3 linked regions of the Caenorhabditis elegans genome follow. The protein of the gene in region 1 purifies or fractionates together with the protein of each later gene. This does not show direct contact. Each region holds a gene or a part of one and is shown on either strand. Other genes may lie near its edges. The genes, in order: smap-1, asp-3 and tbca-1.

The links.
Region 2: the proteins of smap-1 (region 1) and asp-3 fractionate together in Caenorhabditis elegans (co-fractionation; one large-scale study listed by BioGRID). This does not show direct contact.
Region 3: the proteins of smap-1 (region 1) and tbca-1 fractionate together in Caenorhabditis elegans (co-fractionation; one large-scale study listed by BioGRID). This does not show direct contact.

What each region holds. Positions count from the first base shown.
Region 1 is NC_003281.10:10,734,290-10,742,801, forward strand, and holds smap-1 (Arf-GAP domain-containing protein), read right to left. Parts: upstream 5,504-8,512; 5' UTR 5,490-5,503; coding exon 5,368-5,489; intron 5,062-5,367; coding exon 4,364-5,061; intron 4,153-4,363; coding exon 3,680-4,152; intron 3,157-3,679; coding exon 2,962-3,156; 3' UTR 2,604-2,961; downstream 1-2,603. Other genes in the region: tass-1 (Protein FAM32A), read right to left, coding at 6,072-6,191, 6,236-6,317, 6,356-6,477; tbb-1 (Tubulin beta chain), read right to left, coding at 6,692-7,069, 7,120-7,925, 7,971-8,136.
Region 2 is NC_003284.9:6,787,763-6,796,274, reverse strand, and holds asp-3 (Aspartic protease 3), read right to left. Parts: upstream 5,212-8,512; 5' UTR 5,085-5,211; coding exon 5,026-5,084; intron 4,946-5,025; coding exon 4,669-4,945; intron 4,618-4,668; coding exon 4,513-4,617; intron 4,460-4,512; coding exon 3,704-4,459; 3' UTR 3,566-3,703; downstream 1-3,565. Other genes in the region: sgca-1 (Dystroglycan-type cadherin-like domain-containing protein), read left to right, coding at 6,748-6,898, 6,944-7,042, 7,127-7,234, 7,291-7,383, 7,434-7,557, 7,601-7,763, 7,821-7,910, 8,320-8,498. UniProt on the Caenorhabditis elegans protein: Aspartic protease. Part of the necrosis cell death pathway. Involved in neuronal cell degeneration. Involved in heat stress response.
Region 3 is NC_003279.8:2,309,982-2,317,448, reverse strand, and holds tbca-1 (Tubulin-specific chaperone A), read right to left. Parts: upstream 4,954-7,467; 5' UTR 4,940-4,953; coding exon 4,751-4,939; intron 4,700-4,750; coding exon 4,553-4,699; 3' UTR 4,492-4,552; downstream 1-4,491. Other genes in the region: ekl-7 (PEHE domain-containing protein), read right to left, coding at 1-57, 106-234, 280-802, 862-1,009, 1,060-1,140; eif-2gamma (protein-synthesizing GTPase), read right to left, coding at 1,689-1,793, 1,845-2,453, 3,288-3,678, 3,736-3,941, 3,986-4,074, 4,129-4,138; 5-cytosine rRNA methyltransferase nsun-4, read right to left, coding at 5,404-5,607, 6,275-6,350, 6,393-6,595, 7,202-7,467.

The sequences.
Region 1 (8,512 bases):
TTTTTTGAACTTTTTTTGCATTAAAAAAACATCAAATAGTGTTATTTTCGGTACTCTTGTCTGAAACAATTTGTTTTTTTAAATGAAAATTGAAAAAAATTCAAATATTTCAAGTTACAATTCAAGCTTTTTTCTAAAAAAAAGCAATAATTTCAATTTTTCAAAAAATGTTCCTAAACTTTGATTTTCAAAACTCCAAAAATAAACCACAATTTCTAAACATCAGAAAATGTTCGGTCCCCATGAGGTGCAATCAGTTATGTTCCGAAAAAAAACCTCAAAAAACTTGTAGTCTCCACGGTCACCTGGTTCGTAGTCTGCCAAACTTTTTTTGTTGAGAAAAATAGGAAAAGAATGGCAAATAGAGTGAACACTTTTGTAACTCACAATGTGTATTTACACGTTTTAGTCTTTCTAAAATAAACTTTGTTGAGCCCAGAAGAACTCTTCTATTTACAGGCCGTTTTGAGTTTACTTTTTAAAGGGACACACATGAGATATTGAGTCGTAGTTTGTGATTTTTGTGGCCGAAAAATATTTGGGGTTCTAGAAGAGTTCAAAGTATCAATTAAAAATTTTAAAAATAATTTAATTTTTTGAATATTGCCAGAGTATTAAAATTCGAGAAAAATAAGATTTTTTAATTTTTGCTAATTTCCCGTTTCTGAATTACCTCAAAAATGAGAAGCCCTGCCTACATTCAAACCAATCAGGGTCCTAGAACTCCGCCCACTCCATCTGATTGGTTGAAAAGTGGGCGGCGCAAATCGCTGATTGGTTGTGTTGTTCTCATTTTGGAGGATATTCAAATACGGATACAATTTTTGAAAATCGATATTTCAGTCTTAAAATAAACAATTTTTCAGATTTTTTTTTTTTTTAATTTCAGTATATTTGAAACAATTGAAAAAACAGTCATACTTCAGTATCAATTTTAAGCCAGTTTCCGATTTTGAAAAAATCGGAAAAAATTCCAAGAACTTTTTTAAAAAGAAAATACGAATTTTCCAGATTTTTTTTGTACAAATCAAGAATCCGGTAGAAAATATGTCCGGAGTACTTCAATGAAGTAATTCTCAATTGGAATGTTGACCTCGACATTTGTAAAAGGACGTTGCTTCTTTTTTATTTTGGGAATTGTATTAGGTTGGGATTTTGAAGGATATTCAGAGTTATTATACATCTGGGAAATCCATACATTATGGGTCTCGCCACGAATATCGTAGGTTTTATTTTGAAGTGACGAGAATCGTGGTGGGACCCATGATTGAAATATTTTTAATGAAAAAAAGTTCTTTCAAAAATTAAATTTACAAAAAAAATCACCCAGATTTGTGGCGGGTACCCAACTTTGGCAAGGCGCCATGTGCCTTTAATATTAAAATTTTTCAGTTAGATACAAAAATGATCGTATCGAGACCCAACGGGCGCCCATAAAATAAAAACTTTTCGAACATTTTTTTATGTGAAAAATTCCAAAAATTGTTATAAATATGTTTTTTTATAAAAGTGACTTTTTCCAATACAATAAGTCGTATGTATATAACAATGAGAATAAAAAATTACATTTAGAAAAATGTGGAGAGTTCAATATAAAAATGCATCATACATGAATCATACATTACTGCACACAGCATATACCGTCGAACTTTATTTTTTTTTTTTGAAAAAAAAACCTTCTCCAAGCGACCAGAGAACCAGTTTGCATACGAATTATGCCCTCCCGTGGGGGTCGAGAATTATGAATTGTTCAGTTGTTTTTTGTTGTAAACGACACTCCGTTGTGCTAGACTCCGCCCACTTATTACGTGTATTTCTTTGAAAATTTGAAAATGGAGAAGAAATGGAATATTTCTTGAAATATCGGGAGTTAAATTGTCTCAAAAACCCTTAAAAGTATTTTTTAACCCACGAAATGTTTCGATTTTTGAGTAACAAATACGAAGCCTGGTTTTGGGTCTCGACACGGCAAAAATTTTTTAATTTTGAAAAGGTATGCGCCTTTAAATAGTACTATATATCAAACTTTTGTTGCTGTGGAGCATAAATTTTCATCAATTGTTTAAAAAAAATTTTCGAAGAAATTAACATTCGCTTTTTTTAAAATTAAATATAGCAATAAAACACTTAAATTTTAACAAAACTCGAGAGAAACTTCGCAGGAAAGTTTGAAATTACAGTAATTTTTAAAGGCACATGCTCACTTCTCTCAAACTGACTTTGATCGTTGCAGAACCCATGCAAGGGTAGAAGATGTGCGCCTTTACAGTTGGCACATTTTGGAATTAAATTTTCGCAAAAAAAAACCGGATTAAACCGAATCTCCAGAAAAATCGAGAAAACTAACGGAAGAGAAAAAAAGGAAAAACAAAAATAATCGAAATGTTCAAACCGAAGAACGATAATTGTGGTTTCCTTTCATCTTCTTCGTCTTCTTCAGCCCAATTCCCTCCCGCGCATTCCGCCTCATTCGGCTTTTCTGCTGCGTCTCCACGATTCGTGTGATATTTCCCACCGGAATCAGGACGAACATGTCTGCGTGCTACTCGTTTCTCGTACTATTTCGCCGGGGGTCGACAAAAGTCATTTTCAGTCGAAATTTTAGTTCAAGATTAGGAATCTCGATAAATTTCATTCGACAGAAAAAAAAACACATTAAAAATCAGTTTAAGCATGAATTAGTACGTTGAAGGAGAAAGAAAAAGAGAGGGGCTATAGAAATCTGAAAAAAAAGTTGTAGTATTCCTAATACACATTTCGGATATGCTGAAGGGACTGGAATTTCTGGGGCTCACACAACCGAACTTTATCGGGGGGAAATGTTGATGAGAATAATAATTTACTAGAAAAAAATCACAAAAAGAAGCGCAGTTTCCTAGGAAAGAAAGTGTTTAGAGAGGGAGAAAAGAAAAATAAAATCACAGGTCAAATTATGCATTTTTTAGGTGGAAAACTAGTTTTTCAGAGTCCAAGGAGGTCGTCAAGTCCAGACGAAGACGAATTGACTGTAACCGGTGGCGGTGCCGAGGCGAACATATCGAAAAGATCATTGTTGGCGGCAGTGTTGGATTGTGCCGGCATCGGTGACGCTCTATTAGAGGAAATTGGTGCCGCTTGGTGATGAATTGCACTTTGTCCGTAGTTTGTCTTCATTACCTGGAAAAAAAAATTATAATAGGTTAATTTTTTTTTTCAAGAAATATCGAATCAGGTTCGACTTTTTTTAGTTTAATGATCGAAATTTTTTTCAAAACTTTACTTTTTTTTTCAAAAAATTGCATCAAATTGCTGGTTTTTTTCCAAAAAAAATTGTGAAATTATTCAATAAAAAATGTGAATTCTTTTCGGTACAAAAACCTAGGAAATTTGAAACAAAAATCCAAATTAATTGTGCTTTTGGATGTTTTTTCCGGAACTTTCTAGTTAATAATTCATGCAAAAATTGGTAAAAAATGATATGATTTTTTCTTGATTATACTCGTTTATTTTTCAACGAAAATCAGACAATTTTTTCTGAAAAATAAGGTATTTTGCTTGAAAAAAAAGCATAAAGCGAGAGTTATCGAAAAACGGGTATTTTGTTTGGAAAAAAATTTTAATTTTGAATTTTTTGCTAAATTTCTAGTTTTTTTCTTCAATATATCTAGAATTTTAACGCTCAAAAGTGCCAAAATTGTACCTTTCCAAGTGCCAAATCAGCGAAAGCATTCGATTTATTCGGAATATTGAATCCTTGTGATCCAGTTGGTGAAGTAGGCGTTGGTTTAGACTGCATACTCATTCCACCGAATCCACTGGAAGACATTGCTCCAAATTGAGCAGCTCCAAAGTATTGTGGTGGAGCCATTGGTGGGATTTGAGACATTTGAGCCGATGGTGGTGGTGCTCCAAAATTGATACCCGACAGTCCTCCAAACATATCATTTTGTTGTGGAGCTGGAGCTGGAGCCCCGAATTGGTGGAACGAAGAAGCTTGTTGCGGGATTTGAGCCGGAGCAGCTTGCAGTCCAAATCCGGCAAATCCTCCGGGAGCAACTACATTCGGAGCCGATATGCCACCAGATGGGCCGAAAAGCGAAAGAATATCTGCGTTGGTTTTCTTTTGATCACTTCCATTTGTCGCTGGAGCCGTTGAGGAGAGAGCGGTGAGATCTGAAAAGGAAAAATCATTTAAAAAAATTATTTACAAAAGTGAAAAACAAATGAATTTTGGTTCCCGCTTGTTCGATTTTCCAAGGTCCCGAAAAATGACTTTTTTTTTGGATAAAAATTAGGAATTGAAATTTGGTTCAATTTTCATACATTTTTCCTCAATTTTTTGATTATCTTTTTTTGCGACAAAGACCAGGTGAAAATTCAATACCATCGAGGCCAGAAGAAGCTGAAGGCGCTGCAGCTGCTGTCGTTGGAGCCGATGAGAAATCGGCGAATCCTCCTCCAAGAGATTGAGCATTCTGTTGAGCATTTTGTGAGTTCGCCGAGACAAATGATCCGAAATCGTCGAAATCATCGTTGAGAGCAGCTGGAGCTGCTGCCGGAGCCGCTGGTCCTAGACTTAATCCATCAAAGTCGTCGAATAAGTTGACGGCCTTCTTAGCAGGAGTTGTGCTGGCTGGAGGATCAGAAAAATCTAGAAGCGATGGAGCAGCAGCAGCAGCTGAAGCCGTCGAATGTCCATTGCTAGAGCTACTTCCACGTGATGCAATGTTCACAACGGGCGTTCCGACCTTCTTCTGTGCCTGAGACAATGATTTCGGCAGCTGGCTCGCGTCAACTCTTGGATACACGAAATCTCGCAGAATATACCGTTTCTGTTCATACTTGCTCCGAATGAATTGTTCCATTTGCTGATCATTGGTGGGCCGCCGAAATTGCGCTGGTAGATCATGTTCGTAGACTTGTCGGGCCTTCTCGTTGCCCATCACCCGCATCGTCTGCACTTGTTCGGGCGTCCACGAGTCCAGATTCACTGAGCGCACTTTTGAGATGTGAACGCCGAGGTTACGGTGGATGCCGGCGCATCGGATGCAGATGAAGACGCCGAGGTTCCAGGCAGCCCATCTGAAATAAATATTGATTTTTTGTTGTTATTTCTGCAATTTTTGCAATCCTGGCACGGTTTTTGGGGTAAATTTTGAAATTTGTGGATTTATCGGAATAATTCCTTGGACCAATAAATCCGCGAAGGTTTTGCATTGACAAAAAAAGTCTAAAAACTGTAACCAAGCGGAAAAATAATTTTTGACTTTTTTCAGTTTTCGAAAGAATTATTCCGGCAAACCTGTAAATTTACTGCAATAACGATTTTAAGCCGAAATATACTATATTAAATTCGCGAATTTCCAGATTTTCGTCTCAAATTCTCACCTTGGCGTTTTCGCCTGACAATCGGCACAATACTTGTTCTCCTCTTCCTTGAGCATGTCCAACAGGAAGCCTTGCAGTCTTTCCTGCTCTTCCTTCTTCGGATCCACTTTACCTCGCAGCATTTGTGCTTCTGAAACTGAAAAACCTTGAACTCGATGGAAATGAAAATGCGGAAACGTGATGTTGAAAATGATAAGAGAGAAAAGGGCAACTCAATCAATATTCGACGACGATGACGCGTGGGAAATTGGGAAATGCACAAAAGAGGAGATAATATGAAAAAATGATAAATTCTGAGCTTCCTCGAGTTCCACTGAAATTTGAGAAGAACGTGTGTGTGAGGCCAGTAACCCGAATAATCAATGAAGTCGGCTCCAGCTTCACGGAGCCGGTGTCAGGCTCTCGCGCAAATGAGGGCGTGTGTGAGGACAGAGGCGAGAGACGGAGAGACGCAGACACTCTTTGTCTGTGAATACGCCGAATTTGACGCAAAGTGGGAATTATTGGAGAATTATAATGACGTGGCCATGGCATTTTATTAGAAGTACAGGATTTTCAAGCTACGAAAATTCACGAATTAATCAAGGAAAATATACATTTTGGAGCAAAAAAACCAAAAAAGATTTATTGACAGTTATGCACAAATGATTCAAGTAAAGTACAGAGAGAGAGAGAGAGAGAGAGAGAGAGAGAGATTATTATTATTATTTCGTCCAGGAAACTTTTGGAATGTCGTTGAATTCTGTCATCTCGCCGAGCTGCTTGTTCAACTTCTCCACCTTTTCACGATGACTCAACGCCGCCTGTTTCAGCATTCTTTCCGCCTGAAATTATGTGAATTTTAAGTATTAAAAAAAAAAGCGCCTACCATGTTCGCCTGTCTTCTAGCCTCGAACCGAAGCTCAGCCTCGGTTTTGTGTGGCCCACCGCCGGAAGTGTTTCTGGAATCTCTGGGACCGTTAGCTGTCTGGTTTCGGATTACACATACCTTCTGATCGTCATGTCAACTTGCTTCAAGTCCATAGCTGGCTTACTCTTTTTAGTCTTCTTTGGCGCTTCTGTCGATACTTTTTTCAACTTGAGAGATCCTTTGACGACTGTGTCTTTCATTGTTCTGAATATGAAAATTGTGAACCAGTGTCTACCTTCTATCGAGCTTTTGCAAGATATTTTAATGATTGAAACATAATGAGAACACTGGAAAAAAGTTTAAATTAATCATCGTTCATTCGAGTCATAAAAATATTGGGAGTGGGCGAAAGAAAAGATCATTGTACAGGAAATTACGAAACGGGGCAGGATAATTTAGTGATTGATACACAGATTATTGCTCAGACTCGTATGTCTCCCCTTCTCCGGCGAACTCGTCGAGTGGCTCGTCTTCGGCGGTAGCTTCCTGGTATTGTTGGTACTCCGAGATCAAGTCGTTCATGTTGCTTTCAGCCTCGGTGAACTCCATCTCGTCCATACCCTCACCAGTGTACCAATGAAGGAAGGCCTTTCTGCGGAACATGGCGGTGAATTGCTCCGAGATACGCTTGAAGAGCTCCTGGATAGCAGTGGAGTTTCCGACGAAGGTGGCAGCCATCTTGAGTCCACGTGGTGGGATGTCGCACACAGCAGTCTTGACGTTGTTTGGAATCCATTCAACGAAGTACGAGGAGTTCTTGTTCTGGACACTGAGCATCTGCTCGTCAACCTCCTGAAAAACAAAGCATATAGTGAAAAGTTACAAGCAATCGATGAACTTACTCTCATGGACATGCGTCCACGGAACATAGCAGCAACGGTGAGGTATCTTCCGTGTCTTGGATCGCAAGCAGCCATCATGTTCTTGGCGTCGAACATTTGTTGAGTAAGCTCGGCGACAGTCAATGCACGGTAAGCCTGAGCTCCCTTGGCGGAGAGTGGAGCGAATCCAGGCATGAAGAAATGAAGACGTGGGAATGGAACCATGTTGACAGCCAACTTGCGAAGATCAGCGTTCAGCTGTCCAGGGAAGCGGAGGCAGGTAGTCACTCCAGACATTGTGAGAGACACGAGATGGTTCAGGTCTCCGTATGTTGGGTTGGTGAGCTTTAGAGTTCTGTAGCAGATATCGTAGAGAGCCTCGTTATCGATACAGTAAGTCTCGTCGGTGTTCTCAACAAGCTGGTGGACAGAGAGGGTGGCATTGTACGGCTCGACGACGGTATCCGAAACCTTTGGTGATGGAACAACCGAGAAGGAAGACATAATTCGATCTGGGAATTCCTCGCGAATCTTGGAGATGAGAAGGGTTCCCATTCCGGATCCGGTTCCACCTCCAAGAGAGTGTGTGAGCTGGAATCCTTGAAGACAATCGCATCCTTCAGCCTCTTTGCGGATCACATCGAGCACGTTGTCAACAAGTTCTGCTCCCTCGGTGTAATGTCCCTTGGCCCAATTGTTTCCAGCTCCAGATTGTCCGAAAACAAAGTTGTCTGGTCTGAAGAGTTGTCCGAAAGGACCGGACCGCACAGAATCCATCGTTCCTGGCTCGAGATCAACGAGGACTGCACGTGGAACGTATTTGCCATCTGAAAAGATCGAAATAAGAACTGCTTTATCTTAGATAAACATACTGTTGGCCTCGTTGTAGTAGACATCGATTCTCTCCAGCTGGAGATCGCTTTCTCCCTTGAAGGTTCCGTCGGGCTGGATTCCGTGCTCATCGGAGATGACTTCCCAGAACTTGGACCCGATCTGGTTTCCGCACTGTCCGGCTTGAACGTGGACGATTTCTCTCATGTTGTTTCTGAAAAATGAAGGAAATAATGGGTGTGCGACGGAAAGGAATGATGAAATAGGACGAGGGCACACGCAAGAAATAAATCGATTGCACCCGACGTAAAACATTTCCGAAAATCATCAAAAACAGTGAAGTGATAAAAACGGCATGATAACGATGCGAAACCGACAAAATGACCAGTGTTCGCCTAAATTTTGGGACGAGAATGACTCATTTGCCGCGGAATTGGTTTTCGAATGGGTTTTTTGGCGCCACGCGTCGCAATACGCGCGCGTGTGCCATGGAGCGCACTTGCTTGTTTTCAAAAAGTTTAAATTTTTAAGCCTGCTTATTTTTACTAAAGCATTTTTAAATACATAAAATTCAATTTTTTCT
Region 2 (8,512 bases), on another chromosome or scaffold:
AATATATATCATTGTGAGATGATTGAAGGTCTGCAAAAACGGAATAAAGATATGTTAGGTGATGGTATGGGATGGGGGAGGCTGGGGTTAACGACAAAAACATGATAATACAGGGTGACAAGGACGAGTAATGGAAGTAATCGAAACGGATAACTAGTCGAGAGTAAAGTTTCTTAACGCGATTGACTATTAGATTTGAATAGTAGATAACACACAAATTGTCGTTGGAGGAGTTGATTAATGGAAATTCGGTTTTTGACACTGCTGCGCGAAGCAAAACTAACTAAATTCCAACGAGTCAACAAATATATAACATTTGATTGTGATCGGGGGACATGAGGTAATTAGCATGTCAGTAGAAAATATGACAATATGGAAGGTAAATGTTGTTATACTGACACACATTTTTGATGGGTTCGCTCATTTGGAGTGAGAGGCTTGAAAATTGCATTTAAATCGAACTTCAATTACTGTATTTCTTCTAATATTACTGCAGGCTAAACTAGTGTTGCACTGAATTAAATATGAACTATGACCAGTGTACAAATGATTAAAAGCCAGTGCTAAAATGACTAAATATCAAAATAAAAACTATTCGAGTTCATCATGTTTAAATTCTTATATTCCAATATTGTAGGGTTTGAACATGCAAAAGTGCTTTAGATTTATCAAAAATCAAAGCGTGCAGAGCGCCTCAGAAATTATGACAACAAGAGTATTTTCAAGTTTTAAAAGACTGGAGATCAGGTTTCTGTCTATTAGAAGCGGTTCTAATAGAAAACGTTCAACACATAAAATAATGACCACAGAAATCTGTAAGTAGGTTCAAAGTTCGTATGACTGAATGGCTCAAAATGTGTTTATGTTTCAAAAACAACAAATCGCTGATGAAATTTTAAATTATGAGTTTCGGTTCAACTTTACGTATTTTCTCTATCCAATTGTTTTATTTTGAAAGGTTCTACCTATTAATTTTGAATTACAAACACTAGAAAACAAAAACCTTTTGTTTATTCTGTTAACAGTTTTTGAGTAGAATAATTGACAATTGACAAGTTTGAAAATTGGGATGAAATGCTAATAGAGGGAAAACGGTAGTAGATTGAATTGAACAAAATTAAATGAACAATTGAACCATGAAACAACTGAATTTTATCATGGAAACTCTTTTGAAAATCTGGCGCCAATAACTGACAGTATTGGGAAAAATGCAATTCAAGAACGCATAGTTTTAATTACAGTTCTCGATATTACAGACAGCCGTGACAGGTTTTGAATTAAACAAAGGAAGAGAACAACACTGATACCACATAATACTAATACTAAATTCTTGATTGTTATGTTGGTGTATGTGTGGAGGGGAAAAAAAGAAAAAAGAAAAGCAGCCGCTTCGTAAAATTGTAGGTGCTTTTTTCTTATTTCAGCATTGCTGCTGTAACTTTTCCGCCTTGCAATTCCAACTCAACAAATTGTACGAGCGCGTTATGAGAGTAAGTTATGTCCGGGAAAAAAAAGAGCGACAGAAAAAGGAAAAGTGTCGTTGAGGAATGGGCTAGTGGGGTTGAGGGAACTGTGATGTGCTGAATAATGTGATGGGAATTGGGAAAAAGAGTGTATTTAGGACGACGAAAAAGCGAGCAAGAAGAGTGGCGACGGGACAGATCGAATAAGAAGCGGTAATTGAAATGAGTCTCCATATGATAGATGACAGAAGGATGCAGGAAAAGAGGCCATCGGATGCGCACGCAAATCACCTGCTCCTCTTCATCCTCCTACATTCCCATTTCTGATCGCACATACTAAGCGTTTTGCCCCTTTTTGGCGAAACCGCCTATGATAATTTCCAAAAGATTTATGAAGCTCTCTTGATGATGCCAGTCCGCCGATGACCAACTAAGCATGTGATCGAAGATAGAGAACTGGAAGTCCACATCAAAAACCAAAAAAGAATTATGAACTGTTTTTTATTCTATCACATCGCGACCAGCAAAGAGATCAGAGTAAGATGAAAGACGATTGATTGATTAATTTTATTATCAGCCACCTATTCATGCATCATATCGCTCAAAATCACAATTTTCACTAAAAGAATAACCTTCCCAGGTGAAGCGTTTTCGAACAATAGGTTTAGATGGTGTATGCATTTTACCCCACCCAATGTGGGAAAATATTTTCAAGGTCTTGTTTCACAGTGAATGGAGAGGTGGTCAGTGGAAATGTGATATCAAACAATAAATAAAATGATGGAATACTATATTGGCTATGAGAAAGTACCAGCGGGTAAATGAAATCTGGAATATTTCAGAAAAATAAATAAAAATGAGAAACACACTTTTTTTTAGTTATGGGTTGCCTATTTATTGGTATCCAAAGTTTTTCAAAGTTAGAATATCGTCAGTGGGGCTGAATACAATTTTTTAAAACTATTTGGAAAAAACGCGAAATGTTGTTTTTTAAAATAAGTTTTTTGCCCAAAAAAGGAAAAAAAATCAAAAATTAGGAAACTAATCTTTTTGTACATTTGAACCGTTTTATGAAAAATTCAATAATTTTGATCAGAATAACATTCTTGTTATAATTCAGATTATATTTTATGGCAAAAATGTAATTTATAAGTTTTTCAGTTAACGGCAGGCTAATATCATTTTTATTAGGTCGCCATTTTTTGAAAAAAAAAGGATAATTAAAATTTGAAAAACACGTAAAAAATAAAAGTCTACAGCCCGATTAGGTCTGAATTCTGAATATTATAGTTTAAATTAATATAATACCATGATGATAAACTACAATTTCTTGTAGCTTGTCGACTGACAATATTATAATAAGTTTTTGACAGTAAATAAAACATTTTAAAGTTTTTAGAATAGTTGTACTTTAAAAATTAGCACATTGCAATGCTTTGCATAGCGTTAGAAAAATATCCAGGGAAAGTTCCCTCAATTAAAAAAAATTTCTCAAAACAAATTTTGAATTTAGTCTAAAACAAAAATTCAGACTTTCAAGTAGAGAAAAAACGGAAGAAAGAAGTTTCGTAACTTCTATTTACGCAAAGCATAAATTCACGTATATTTTCCGAGTCACCGGAAACATGCATTGTGTGCGGTCTTCCTTTACAAACACGACATGGTATTGCACAATAATCGCGCGGTTTTTGCGTGCACAAGTGTATATTTCAATAAAATCTAATCGAACATCTCAAATGTCTCTTCTAAGTTGAGGGGAGGAGGATCGGCTAGCAGGAATAGAAGGAATAGAAGGAAGAATGTCAAAAATATAAACAAATTTCTAACAGATTGTTTGTAGCACAAATGTGCCACTATTCTCTTGGAGGATTCTACGGAAAGTGTTCACTAGTGAGATTTAAAACATGTGGAAATGGAGTGTATCAAAGCATTTGAATCATGCTGGAACAAGTGAGAAAAGTACGAAAATTTCTTGCGTCATGAAAAAGTGAGAACCACATGTTTCGCGAAAGCTTTGGATTTTTTGTTTTCTTTGAGTACAGCATAAAATAAAACTCATAAAATTGTGTTTTCCTCCCACCCAATGTAAACTTTGTTATCAAGAAGCCAGTCAGGGTTTTTAGAATTCTTGCAAACGTATAGAAAGAACTGTTTTAGAACTTCTTATCATCACATAACCACATTTATTACAATCAAGCAAGTAATGGCATAGAAATTGAGTTTTTAAATTAGAAATAGGCTTATTTTCCGGTTCTAGAGGTGGCAAATCCAACTCTCTTGTTTCCATGATCGAAGACCGAGTAGAAGCGTCCGATGAAGACGTCTCCGAGAATCCAGAGTGGTCCGGCTGGGGCTGGAATATCCATTCCCATGAATCCAGAGAGGCAGGTGGATCCTCCGTTTCCGTTGGACATTTGAAGGATGTAGTCCTTTCCTTGAAGATCGAAGTTTTGTCCTCCGAGGTTGAAGGTGATGTTTGGAAGAGATGGAATCTTGCTGCACTCAACTTCGTACTCTCCATTGAAGAGTGGGATTCCTCCGATCTTGTGTTGGATCTTCTTGATGACATCAGTTGGTCCAGTGAGAAGGGAAGTTCCAGTGTCAACAATCGAGTCGATTGGTCCGCTGGTGTAGGTGGTTCCATCGATGACAACCGAAGCGAGCTTGATTCTCCAGTAGTCCTCAGAGACGAGTGGCTCCCAAGCGATGTTTCCGACGTAGTGGTTCGGATCGGTGTCGCAAAGGGTAATTTCTCCTCCGTTGGTGATGTCGTTGGCGTCACGGCTAAGCCAGAAAGCGAATAGTTGATTCTTGCAGATGGCGGAGTTGGCGAAGATTTGGTCCATTGGCTGAGAGATCTTGTTAACAGAGATAGTGTCCCATCCCATTCCGAAGATACCGTCAAACTTGGCAGCGACGAAGGTGATTCCTGGCTCAGAAGTAGCACAGGCCAATCCTTGGTTCTTATCAGTACAGTAGGTGGTATCATGTCCGAACTATAAATATATTTTTCAGCTATATTGTAAATAACATCATAAGATTGACTTACGCAGACAACATCGTTGTCAACGGTTCCCTTCATGGATCCAGTTCCGTATTGGATCTCGAAAGAGGCTCCAGTAGCAGTGCAGGAAGAAGACTTCTTGCAATCAAACTGAAAATTATTTTATTGAAAAAAAGTTGATTTGAATACTTCAAAACTAACTCTGTTGTGCATTCTGCAGGCAATATCTCCGAATGGGCAGTTGGCGCATGGCACCCACAAGTTGGAGGATCCAGTATCGAACAAAACTTGGAAGTTTTGTGGTGGAGTTCCAATGGTCACTGGTCCATAGTATTGAGCATTGGAGTAATCAGAAAGACCCTCGTTGAATGCATCCTTGTTTGGAATGTATCCTGGGACGTACTTGGCCTTAAGATGCTCTTGGATTGATCCGAACTTGTATTGTTCACGAGTGTAAGTGCGCTTCTCGAGCTTGATTCTAAAAAAAGAAGAAACATGATAAATAAATAAAATAAAATAATTTAAATATATGAATGGTATATTAAAAATGTAACTAACCTCTGGATGGCAGAAGCCAAGGCGACAAGAGCCAGAAGAAGGAAAACGCGGCCCGACATGGTGCGTTATCACTAATTGAGAAGCAGCGCTCCGGGTTTCTTTTATATGCGACACAAACTCTTGATGATATAATTGTAAACGTCACAACCGATTTTAGTGATAATTAGTAGAGGAGGTTGGCTGGCTGAAAACGGAATTATTTCCTCTCACCGAGTCAAAAGTTTAGATCGGCTATTAAAGTAGTGTACTTTGTGTGTAAAATGAGGGAAAACCATTAAAAAGTGTCCGGGTTGACAAAATGACTTGCTGACAAGGATCCGGATTTTATAGCGTTCTGTTTGCCAAAAGAACACATTAAACTTTTTCCAGCAAAATCATATGTACTTTCAGCAACAAGTCAACACTGCTTTGTCGTCGTCACACCCTCATCGTCATTCTGATCAAAATAACAATTTCAATGGCCTACAATTCAGATTTGTTCTCCCCTATTAAAATATGACTACACTTTAAAATTAGTTCTAGAAAGTTCCACACGTTAAAAATTTAATCGGCTTATTTTCACAAAATATGAAATCATTATCATTATCGTCAAATTGTCTCACAATTTTCGTTACGAAGTAGATAGGGAATACGAAATCAGAATTTGGACATTGGACTAGATGAAATAAATTGAGAACTGTTGCAGTGGTGGAGCAGGTGTGTATACAATTACTAATAATTTTAGAACCTGAAGTAATTTTTATAAATTTGTTTCATTGAACCAAGTATTGAAGTTTTAAGTAGTAAAACATGTGTTACTATAAATTGGCCGAAAGTTTTTTAACAATATTTTTTGTTGGCTTAAAAACACTTATATTAGTCGTGCATGACCAATAATCATAATATAAATATACATACTTCAAAAACTTTTAGATATATATACTTTTAAGTTGAAATTTTGGAAATTATATTGTTTTCCAGCCACTTCCAGAATTATGATAGGTGAAAACTAAGTTTTCTTGAATTTTCGACTGCACAAAAAATTTAAAAAGTCGTTTGAAAAGTTTCACTATAGTCTTAAACCTTTAAACCACAATTTAAATTTCATTTTCACAACGGCCAATACCCAACCTTTGACAAACTCTGAATTCTAGTTTTTTCAACAAAAAAAAGTGTATAAATGACGAAAATGAAAAAACTTTTTGTAGAATGATAAATTATTTCCCAGCCGCTGTGTCAAGGCTAATTAAACAAAATTGAAGTTTTACCTAGCTCTAGTTTTTTTTAATGATTTTAAAAAGTCTAACTTTGAAAAATTTACAATTTTCTTAATATTTACTCTTTCTTTAACAACTTTTTACCTTTTAGATTAAAAATTGTTCACCCCTTTTCTGAATTTCTGAAAGAGAGACTCTCCTGAAACCAAAATTCCAAATAAAGACATTCATATCACGTTTTCTTTCAAGTATCGTTTTTAATGTATATATTCATTATTTTTATCTTAAAAACATTATTGAGACGACATCAATCAACCCCACCACATCAGTTTATCTCATCAAGTTCATCATGCTCTAAAATATCGTCAACAATGATTTCCCCGGCGGGTCTTGTTGGCAGCTTCCCTCAAACCGCCAACCCAGTTGAGCTGTGTAAAAAGCAAAAGTTTGTGCGGACGGCTCAGCGAGCAGCCGTTGTAAAGGATCTCGTTCCACACATCTCTTTCACACAAAATCTTCACTTAAAATGAAAATTCGTTTACTCGATTTTTCGATATTCTCCATTTTGTTGCTATTTCGAACGTCGAAATCATTCAAAGCTCCTACTCACGTGACTGCAACCAAGGGAAAGTTTTTTGTCCACACTCTCCATTCTGCACACTTTTTCCCGAGCACAGGTGCAAACTATTGATCGTTTTTATCAATTGCTCTTTTATTTTCAGTTAAAGTGAAATGGGAAGCTACGCTAAACAAAAAGCCGGCTCTTCCAAACTGGTTACGTCTCTTACCGTCGCGACACCCGGAAATCGCTTATCTAATAGGTGATCGATTAGTTATTAACACACCAGTACATTCATAAAAATAAAATCATCTTATGATTTTTATCGTAGTTATGTATGTTTCAGGCACACCGGTCACAAATGTGCAGCATGTTACACTACACGTGATTGCGAAACGACTGGATAATTTTGATATACAGCAAAGAATGGTGGTGATTAATTTGGTGGAAGACTGTTAGTTTATAGTTTAGAACATTAAAAAAAAGAAACAGTAAACTGTAATTTTGCAGCATTGTATCAAGGAAATACGCAACAAGTTTTTGAACTGCCAATAAATGGACTAGATGTAGAGGATTTAGTTTCAAATCGAGACAGAAAAATAAGTGAGTAATAAAAAACACACTTTTGTCATCATCATCATAATATTGTTCAGGTCAACTAGAAAACTCATTGCGAAACACATTCCGGGGAAGAAATGTAAACCCATATATTGCAGGTGTTCGCTCCAGATACATTATTCCACGTGGCAAGGAGCACATTTTCAAAAATAGTTTCGGGTAAAAAAATGTTTTAATTCAATTCAGTTTTTGAAAAATTCAGAACAATGGTGTATGTTGGTACACAGCAAAAGTTCTATCCCGGAACCATGTCAATTGTACACAATTTACAAACTATGCCCGAGTTTTGTTCAAATCCCTCATCTGTCGTGATGAATAAGTATTTTGCACCAACATTTCCGGTGGACTGGTGTAATGTTGCGGTAGTAAGAACAAAATAATTAAATTTGTCAACATTCTAAAATGTTTAAATATTAATTCAGAGAAATATTTCATCTCTTGAAGGAGAAGGTATTGATGAATTGATAAAGGATGAACAAGAAGAGAAACTGACAAAAGCGAATCCAGATCAGGTAACTTTTAAACAAAACTCTACATGTTTTGAGAAATGCACAGCTTTGAAGCGACCGTAACTTAGTTTTCATTTGATTATTAGTTTATTCAACATTTTACACTGAAGAATAGCTTAACAAACCAATTGAACGGCTCGAATAAAGTAGTAGCGAGATGGAAATGGACGGATTAGCAAAGTTTGACAGTTAAGCATAAAATATGCATTTGGCCTTGAAATTTTACATAGCCACAATAATCGCGTGCGGTTATCGGGGTGAGCTGGCAAATAGCAAACGAAAGTATTGCGGCAAGTAACCATAACCTGAAAGAAGCGGACCGGGCATGTGATTAATGTTTTCTTCAAATTTTAGAATTTAATTTCAGAAATTTTCAAAAAAAAATTTCAGAAAAAATGTCTTTACATTTCAGAATTTGAACGAAAAACCTGAACAACCCCCACGTGAACTATATGGATACTCAGAACATGGTTTTAGCATCGTCTTATTTGCCATAATTCTTGGTGTTTCAATTCTTTTTGTTTTTGCACTCGTGCTCATTTTTTTTGGGTCAAGAGAAGGGCAGAAATGGAGAGACGACAAAACGTCTGGGTATATTTTACATT
Region 3 (7,467 bases), on another chromosome or scaffold:
GCTCCAATCATTGTGACTGTCAATGGAGGTGGAGGACAACGTGGTGGACCGAAGCGTCTGGAAAAAACGAGTTATTTAAGATTATTAATACGACTAGAATCCAACTTTTTGGCTATAATATCATGACGCCATTGGACAAGATCGTTGAACCATTGGATCATGTTCTGTCGCTCCTTCTTCTCATCAATACATTCACCTTTGCGGAAAATGTTGCATTGAGCTTCATCTTGGCATCTGAAATAAAAAATTTTTTAAAATTTATGAACATTTTTTACATACGTGTGACCCGGCGGCTTCTCCACCTCATCACAGCTTGATGCAATCTCCTCGAGATCGGGCGGCGAGGTGTCCGAGCACGAGGATCTTCGTGAATCCGACAAGCTTTTCGGTGTATCGACGAGAAACGATAAATCAATTCGGACTGAGTCCGCCTCGGAACTCTCGGTCACTGGTGGAACGGATACATCGATGGCTGATGTTTTGGAGACCTTCGAATTGAGCTCTAGAAGTGTTTTGTGCGAAACGTAGGACGAGCTGGCGGATGATGTTGCCGGCGTCGTAGGGATCTCCAGCTTGTCAAACAATCGTTTCACAGTCATCTCGTCTTCCGGCGTCAATCTCGGACTGTTTGGAGAGCCACGTGGAGTTGGTAGGCATGATGGTTTCCTGTCGTGTGCAGTATGCCCGAATGGGAGATCAATTTGAGTAGGCGAGATGGGAAACGGGAACGCAGATTCCGACGAAGGTTTCGGACATGTGTACTGATGATGAAAGTGCGAGTAGGATCTGCACGTGGATTTGTCTGCAATTTAAAATTGTATTTTCTTTGGGAAATGTTAAGGACATGGAATTGTCGCCTACATAGTGGAATTGTCGGAATATGACGACTGCGATCGACCCACTTCTTGGCGAAGGTGCTTCGTGGTGGAGGTGCTTCTTCGTTTTTTGGAATGACCGTATCAGAACGGAGCACCATAATTGGTTTCCCGCGTAAATTGTTCAGCTGGAACTAGGTTATGTTTTAGTGGGTGGAAAAAATCGCACAATTCAGAGTATTACCTGCACTTTCTTGCTCCTGTCATAGCCGTAAAGTGACGTTTGAACAGTGTTCGGACCTTCGATGAATTTCGGGGCCGGCATCGCTGAAATTTATCATTTAGAGTGTATGTTTTATCCGATCGAGGCGTTAAAATAAAAGTTTTATACATTTTATTCAGATTTTCGAACAAAAATTTGAGAAAATTGGAGAAAATAAAGAGAAATTCAGATGAAATTCGAAAATTTTCTAGCGGCCTACAACACCGTAAACATTCTACAAAAGTCTCATCGCGGCGAGACCATCTGCGCAAGGAATGAAACCTCCCTTTAAGGTGGGTTACTGTAGCCTGCACTTTTCGTTTTGTTTTTCAAAACCTGAATCTTTGCTGCAATTATAAAATGTATTTCCAGATTTTACTCAAATCCAATAATTTATCGAAAAAACACCAAGCACACTTTCAACAAAAAGAAAAATAATCAATGAAACTGGAAGTGGAATAGTAGGAAACAGGAGGAGGACAGAAAAAAGAACCAAAACAGGGATCCGACAAAATTTTTTGGACTAATAGAGAGACAAAAACGGAGAGAAACAATTGGAAAAGATTAATAATATGTCAAAACCGGTGTAGACAACAAATCGATGATAGCCGCTAGTTCTTGTACGGCTCAACGGTTTGACCTTTGCGAATGGTTCCCCAGCCAATCAGGCGCCAACTCTTCTCGAAACGACGTGACATGGCAATCTTCTCTCCAACCTGAATTTAAATACAAATTAAATTTATTATTTTATAAAAAGTGGGAATTACCTCTGTGCAAATAGGATCGTTTAATCTGATCTTCGCGGCGTCTCCCTTCACAGCAGTAACTCTTCCTCCCGTTGACAACGATCCAATGTTCACCAGCAAAGTCTCTTCCTTGACAAGCTTCTGCACCTTGGCTCCCTTCTTCTTTCCTTCAGTACGAACTCCGAGCAATCTTCTCAGAAGATAGAAGGAGATTTCAATTTCGATGAAGATATCTGGAAGAGTGCCAACGGCTCCGAGGATGTGACCGACGAGTCGATCTCCACGGCAGAGTGTCGGGTCGATCTTCGTTCCAACACCGATGAGACCGCCGGGAACGGCGTATTCCAGCTGGTTCTTTTCGGCAAACAGAGAGTCGATACGGGAGAAGATCGGACGGCATTGGAGTTGACCGGTCGCGGTTTTTGAGACGATTCCCGGGCGAACTTCGATTTCTTGTCCGACGCGCAGAATTCCCTTGGTCAATGTTCCTCCGGCGACTCCTCCCTTCAAGTTTTCAACTTCAGATCCTGGCTTGTTAACATCGAATGATCGGATAATGATGAGACGAGCCGGCGACTTGAAGTCACGGACTGGCACGGGGATTTTCTTGCAAAGATACTCGCAAACGAGCTGAAAAATCGCAATTAATCTAGTATACACGCTCTCCTCAAGCGTTCATAATTATTAGAGCGCGCTCGCGCGGCCCCTCACGAACTCCAGAATTCGCGGGGACAGCAGTTTTAGGCGGCTGTTTTTGGCTTCTATGGAAATTATTTTTAATTTTTTGTTTAATAATATTGTTGAGAAGCACCATCCGAATTGAAAATGTGTAAAATTATGAAATCTGACCGAAAACTGAAGGTTTTACAGAGAGGAGTCACCACGGCTTTCTTTAAAATGTATCAGTACAGTCAGTTTTTCGATTTCAGAGTCGTAGAATATGTTATTTTGTAGAGAAAAGTCTGTTTCACAAAAATCCATGTTTGAAATTTTAAAATTGTTCTTATGAAAAACTGAAAATTTGAAAAAATTAGATTCTAACGTAAAATTGTTGATTTTTTGAATATTTTTATATTAGAAATTAAAAAATTAAAATTTCAAACATGGATTTTCGTGAAACAGACTTACAAAATGACATATTTTACGACTCTGAATTCGAAAAACTGACGGTACTGATACATTTTAAAGAAAGCCGTGGTGACTCCTCTCTGTAAAAACTTCAGTTTTCGGTCAGATTTCATAATTTTACACATTTTCAATTCGGATGGTGCTTCTCAACAATATTATAAATCAAAAAAATTAAAAATAATTTCCATAGAAGCCGAATATAGCCAAAAACTGCTGTCCCCGCGAAACGAATTCCCGCGAATTCTGGAGTTCGTGTGGTGCCGCGCGAGCGCGCTCTAATAATTATGAACACTTGAGGAGAGCGTGGTATATTTAAATCCAGATTCAGATCCTTACATCAACATTATATTTAAGCTGCGCAGAAATCGGGATGACTGGAGCATTCTCGGCGACCGTTCCTTGCACAAATCCGGCGATTTGCTCGTAATTTTCGCGGGCTTGCGACTCCTTGATAATATCGACCTTGTTCTGAAGAATCATCAAATGATTCAGCTGCATAATCTCGACGGCGGCGAGATGTTCAGATGTTTGTGGCTGTGGGCATGGTTCGTTTCCGGCGACGAGCAAGAACGCGGCGTCCATGACAGCGGCTCCGTTCAACATGGTGGCCATAAGAATGTCGTGACCTGGGCAATCGACGAATGAGACGTGGCGAACACAGGTGAATTCTCCACCGCATCCGGCGCGCTCGCATGGGAACCGATCGGGTGTTGATGAACCGGCGGATCTGAATTAGAATTCAAAAATTATTTATTTAAATTAAATTTCAGGGAGATATTATAACCTGTAACATCCTGGCCTTGGGCACTCTTGGTTAGAACATCTGTAGATCTTTGCATTAGCGTATCCAAGTTTGATAGTAATATTTCTTTCCAACTCTCTTTTGAACTTGACAGTATGCACACCGGAGAACGCTTTCACCAGAGTGGATTTTCCATGGGCTACGTGGCCAATAGTTCCGATATTAATCGTGGCTTGTCGAGAGATAACCTGAAAAATAACTCTTTAACTCAAAAATTATTGATTTTCAGTACCTCCTCGGTGAGTGGGTTCAAATTATCGACTCCGACTTTGTCCAAATCTTGTTTCGCAAGCCAGCTCTGGCACTTGTCCTTTTCAGCTTCTAAATTAAGAAAGAATTATGAAATTTTCTTGAAACCGAAAAGCTAACACTTACCAGAAGCCATATTTTTTGTTTTTATGATCCCAGTTGAGTCGATTATTGATCTTTAAAAAATTATCATTATAATTAATCGAAATTACTCAAAATTAATTGAAAATCCATAAAGATTGCATAGAAAACAGGCTAAAATTGGATAAAATTAGAAATGGGTTAAAGGCGCATGGGAGTGGTTGGAAGGGTCTCGATGCGATTTCGTGTGTCGATTTACGAGCTCGAATTTTATGTTTTGCTTTTTAGCGCGAACCAGGCAAAAATCGTTGAATTAACGGACATCTGTATATTTTTCGTATGGAAATATTAGCGAAATTGCTTCTTAAAATTATTTATACGGCATTATAAACCATGTATTCAAGTAAAATGCAATAATTATTCATCATAAATCACCGAAAATCCCAAAATAACAAAAGAGTATCATAAATTAAGCAGAAATGGAGTCCACAAGCGTCTTCGCATTGACGAATTCTGCGGCTTCCTCCGGATAATTCCCAGAAGCAATCGATTCACGGAGGTCGGCCACAGCTTTTTGGAGACGTGATTGAGAATCGCGGACCATGTTGGCAGTTTCCTGAAAATATTTTAATTTCGTATACTCGTAAATCGGATTATTTCAAAAAACCTTAACAATATCCTTCGACTTCTTGGCAACATACTCCTCGTCCTCGTTGGTGGCGTCGGCGGCGAGTTGGGCAGCCTTCTGCTCCTCCTTCACAACTTGCTTCTCGTAATAGGCGACTTCTTTGACGAGACGTTGCACGGTTCCCGTCTTGATTCGGAGCGCTTTCAGCTGATCGGCTTGGGTCGACATGGCGGCGGGAGGTTCTGCAATGTGAATTTTTGAAACAGAGAACGAGATTGTGAGCTTGCTTTTATGGACTAAAAATCGATAGAAAAAGGCGCAATACCACCGAAAATGTTGTGCTCAATGAGCCGAAAAAGGACGGGAAAGCGAGCAGATGGTCAGACACGCTCGGCGATTTCGAAATAAATACAAATTGACCGCTGTCTGTTGGGCGACACAGGTTCCCGCCAAAAAATCGACTGTTCAAATGATTTCGCAATACATACATAGAGAACGAACAAGAAGGATCAATGAAAAATTCTATGAATTTGAAATTAGGTACTGATGGAACGGCAGATGCACCCATGGGGGTACTGCATAAATAATAAAATTTTAAAACAAGACATAAATTTAAAAATTCAGATTTAAAAAAAACAAACAAAAAATAGCAAAATCTAGAAATTTAAAAAAATTCATCAAATATTAAAAATCTATTGCAATCTGGTCAGTTTGCAAATATACATTGGTCCAAAGTTAGAGGGTAGAAACGGCACGACGAGGGCTCCCAGTGGAGTGTCATGGAAACGATAGAGGCCTGATGACGTCATATGGGATACGAGTTGATGTAGGGATTCCTCGACGGTCACGATTCCAAAGTCATTGCGTACGACGGCTACAGCGTTCTCGACGACTGCCTGAAGAAATTTGAATTAGCATTTTTGAGCTGTTATTTCGACAAAAAACCCCGGTCTCGACACGCCAGAAGTACTGTAGCCGCGAAAGTACGCAATCACCGGATCCTACGAAAAAATGCATGCAGAATTTCGGGATTTTTTTTGAGGGAAAATGTTGGGATCGGGCGAGAGTTGAAGCCAGAATCAAATTTTTAAACGGAAATCGTCAAAATTTGAAATTTTGATTTGATTTTCTCAACTGTTTAGTGAAAATTCGAGATTTATAGTGTTAAAAGAAACGATTTCTTCACATTTTAAACTTTTGTGAAACTATCAGAGCAAAATTTGAGCATTTCGGGGTACTGTAGCGGTGAAAATACGCAAACACGGCAGGGAGCGCAAAAAAAAATGCAGAATGCGATTTTTTTTAAACTAAAATTGGAAAATAGCCGAATATTGTTTTGAAAAATTGAGTTTTTCACGTTTTTTGTAAAATTTTCATCGATTTTTCATCAATTTTCGAATTTTTTACAAATCGAGAAAAAACTATATTTGTCATCATTTTTCAAGGAGTTTTTCAAAAATCGATGCAACAAAAAATTTGGAACTACAGTACTCCTTAAAGGCGCATATATTTTCCTATTTAACAAAAAAATTTGTCGTGCCAAGACCAGGTTCGAGCGAAAACCTCGTTTTGGCTTGGTGAGAGTGTGCACGTCGAGTAGACAACCGAGCCACCAACTTTTACAGATCGCAGTGCATTTCTGAAAGGAAAAATAATTTGAGGGAAAGCCGAGGATCCTTACACAAGAATCTTGGTCTGAAGAACCGGAAGATCAAGCCTCTGCTGAGTGGATCCTGTGCTGAAAAGGTTTCCGTCGTCGGTGCTGACTGATAGACGATCCGTCGAGCACGGAACATCGACGAGCACTTTATCGTAGGCCTCGAATTCATCCCAAGTTTTGACGTCGGACGCGTCCTTGCGTTTTAGGACGAATTTGTCGATTGTCTGCAGGAAAATTTTTGGAGTTTTAGCTAATTTTGGAGGGATTTATATTTAAAAAAAAGAATTTTCGACATTTTTTAATCGAAAAAAAAAACTCTAATTTCAAAAAATTGTTTTATTTTCTGATTTTCCTCAAAAGAGCAGAAAAAAGTTGAAATAATTCGTATTTAATTCAATTTTCTCACTGAAAACCCAATTTTTGAGGTGTTTAAATTGGAAAAATTCGAAATTTAAATCTTGAGAAAAATTCACATTTCTGAATGAATTTTCAGGTGTTTTTAACGAAAATCGTCATTTTTTCAAGTAAATTCTAGAAAATCGAGTGAAAATTTCAAATGTTGGTTTTTTTAAAGAAGATTTCAAACTATGGAAAAAAGTTAAGTGAAATTTCGAGAAAATTCTAGTAATTTAAGCAAATATTCGAAAATTTTGGAAATTTTTGAGCCATTTTTTGGTGAATTTTCGGATTTTAAATTTTAAAAAAATTCCGAATTTTAAAGAATTTTTTTGCGAAAAAAATCGGCAATTTCTCCAAATTTGTCAAAAAATCAATTTTTTTTTCAGAAAAATTTGACTTTTTTGTTTTTTTTACAAAAACTGATATTGCACCTCGCTATCCTCTGGCACATATGTCATAAGCGCACGCTTCAGCTGCCCAAGCCTGGCCAATTTGAAATCATTACAAACGATTTTCGAAGGCAAATTCGACAGAGCCGCTAGAAGACTTTTTCCACCGGGAGCCGCACACATATCCAACAGGGAATCGTCTTTTTGAAGGCCCAAAGCCAAAACTGGGAGCAGTGAGCCACCGTCTAGAAGCCAGTAACTCGGAACTCCGACTTCATCTTTCATCGGAGCCGGGAAGTCTAGAAGGA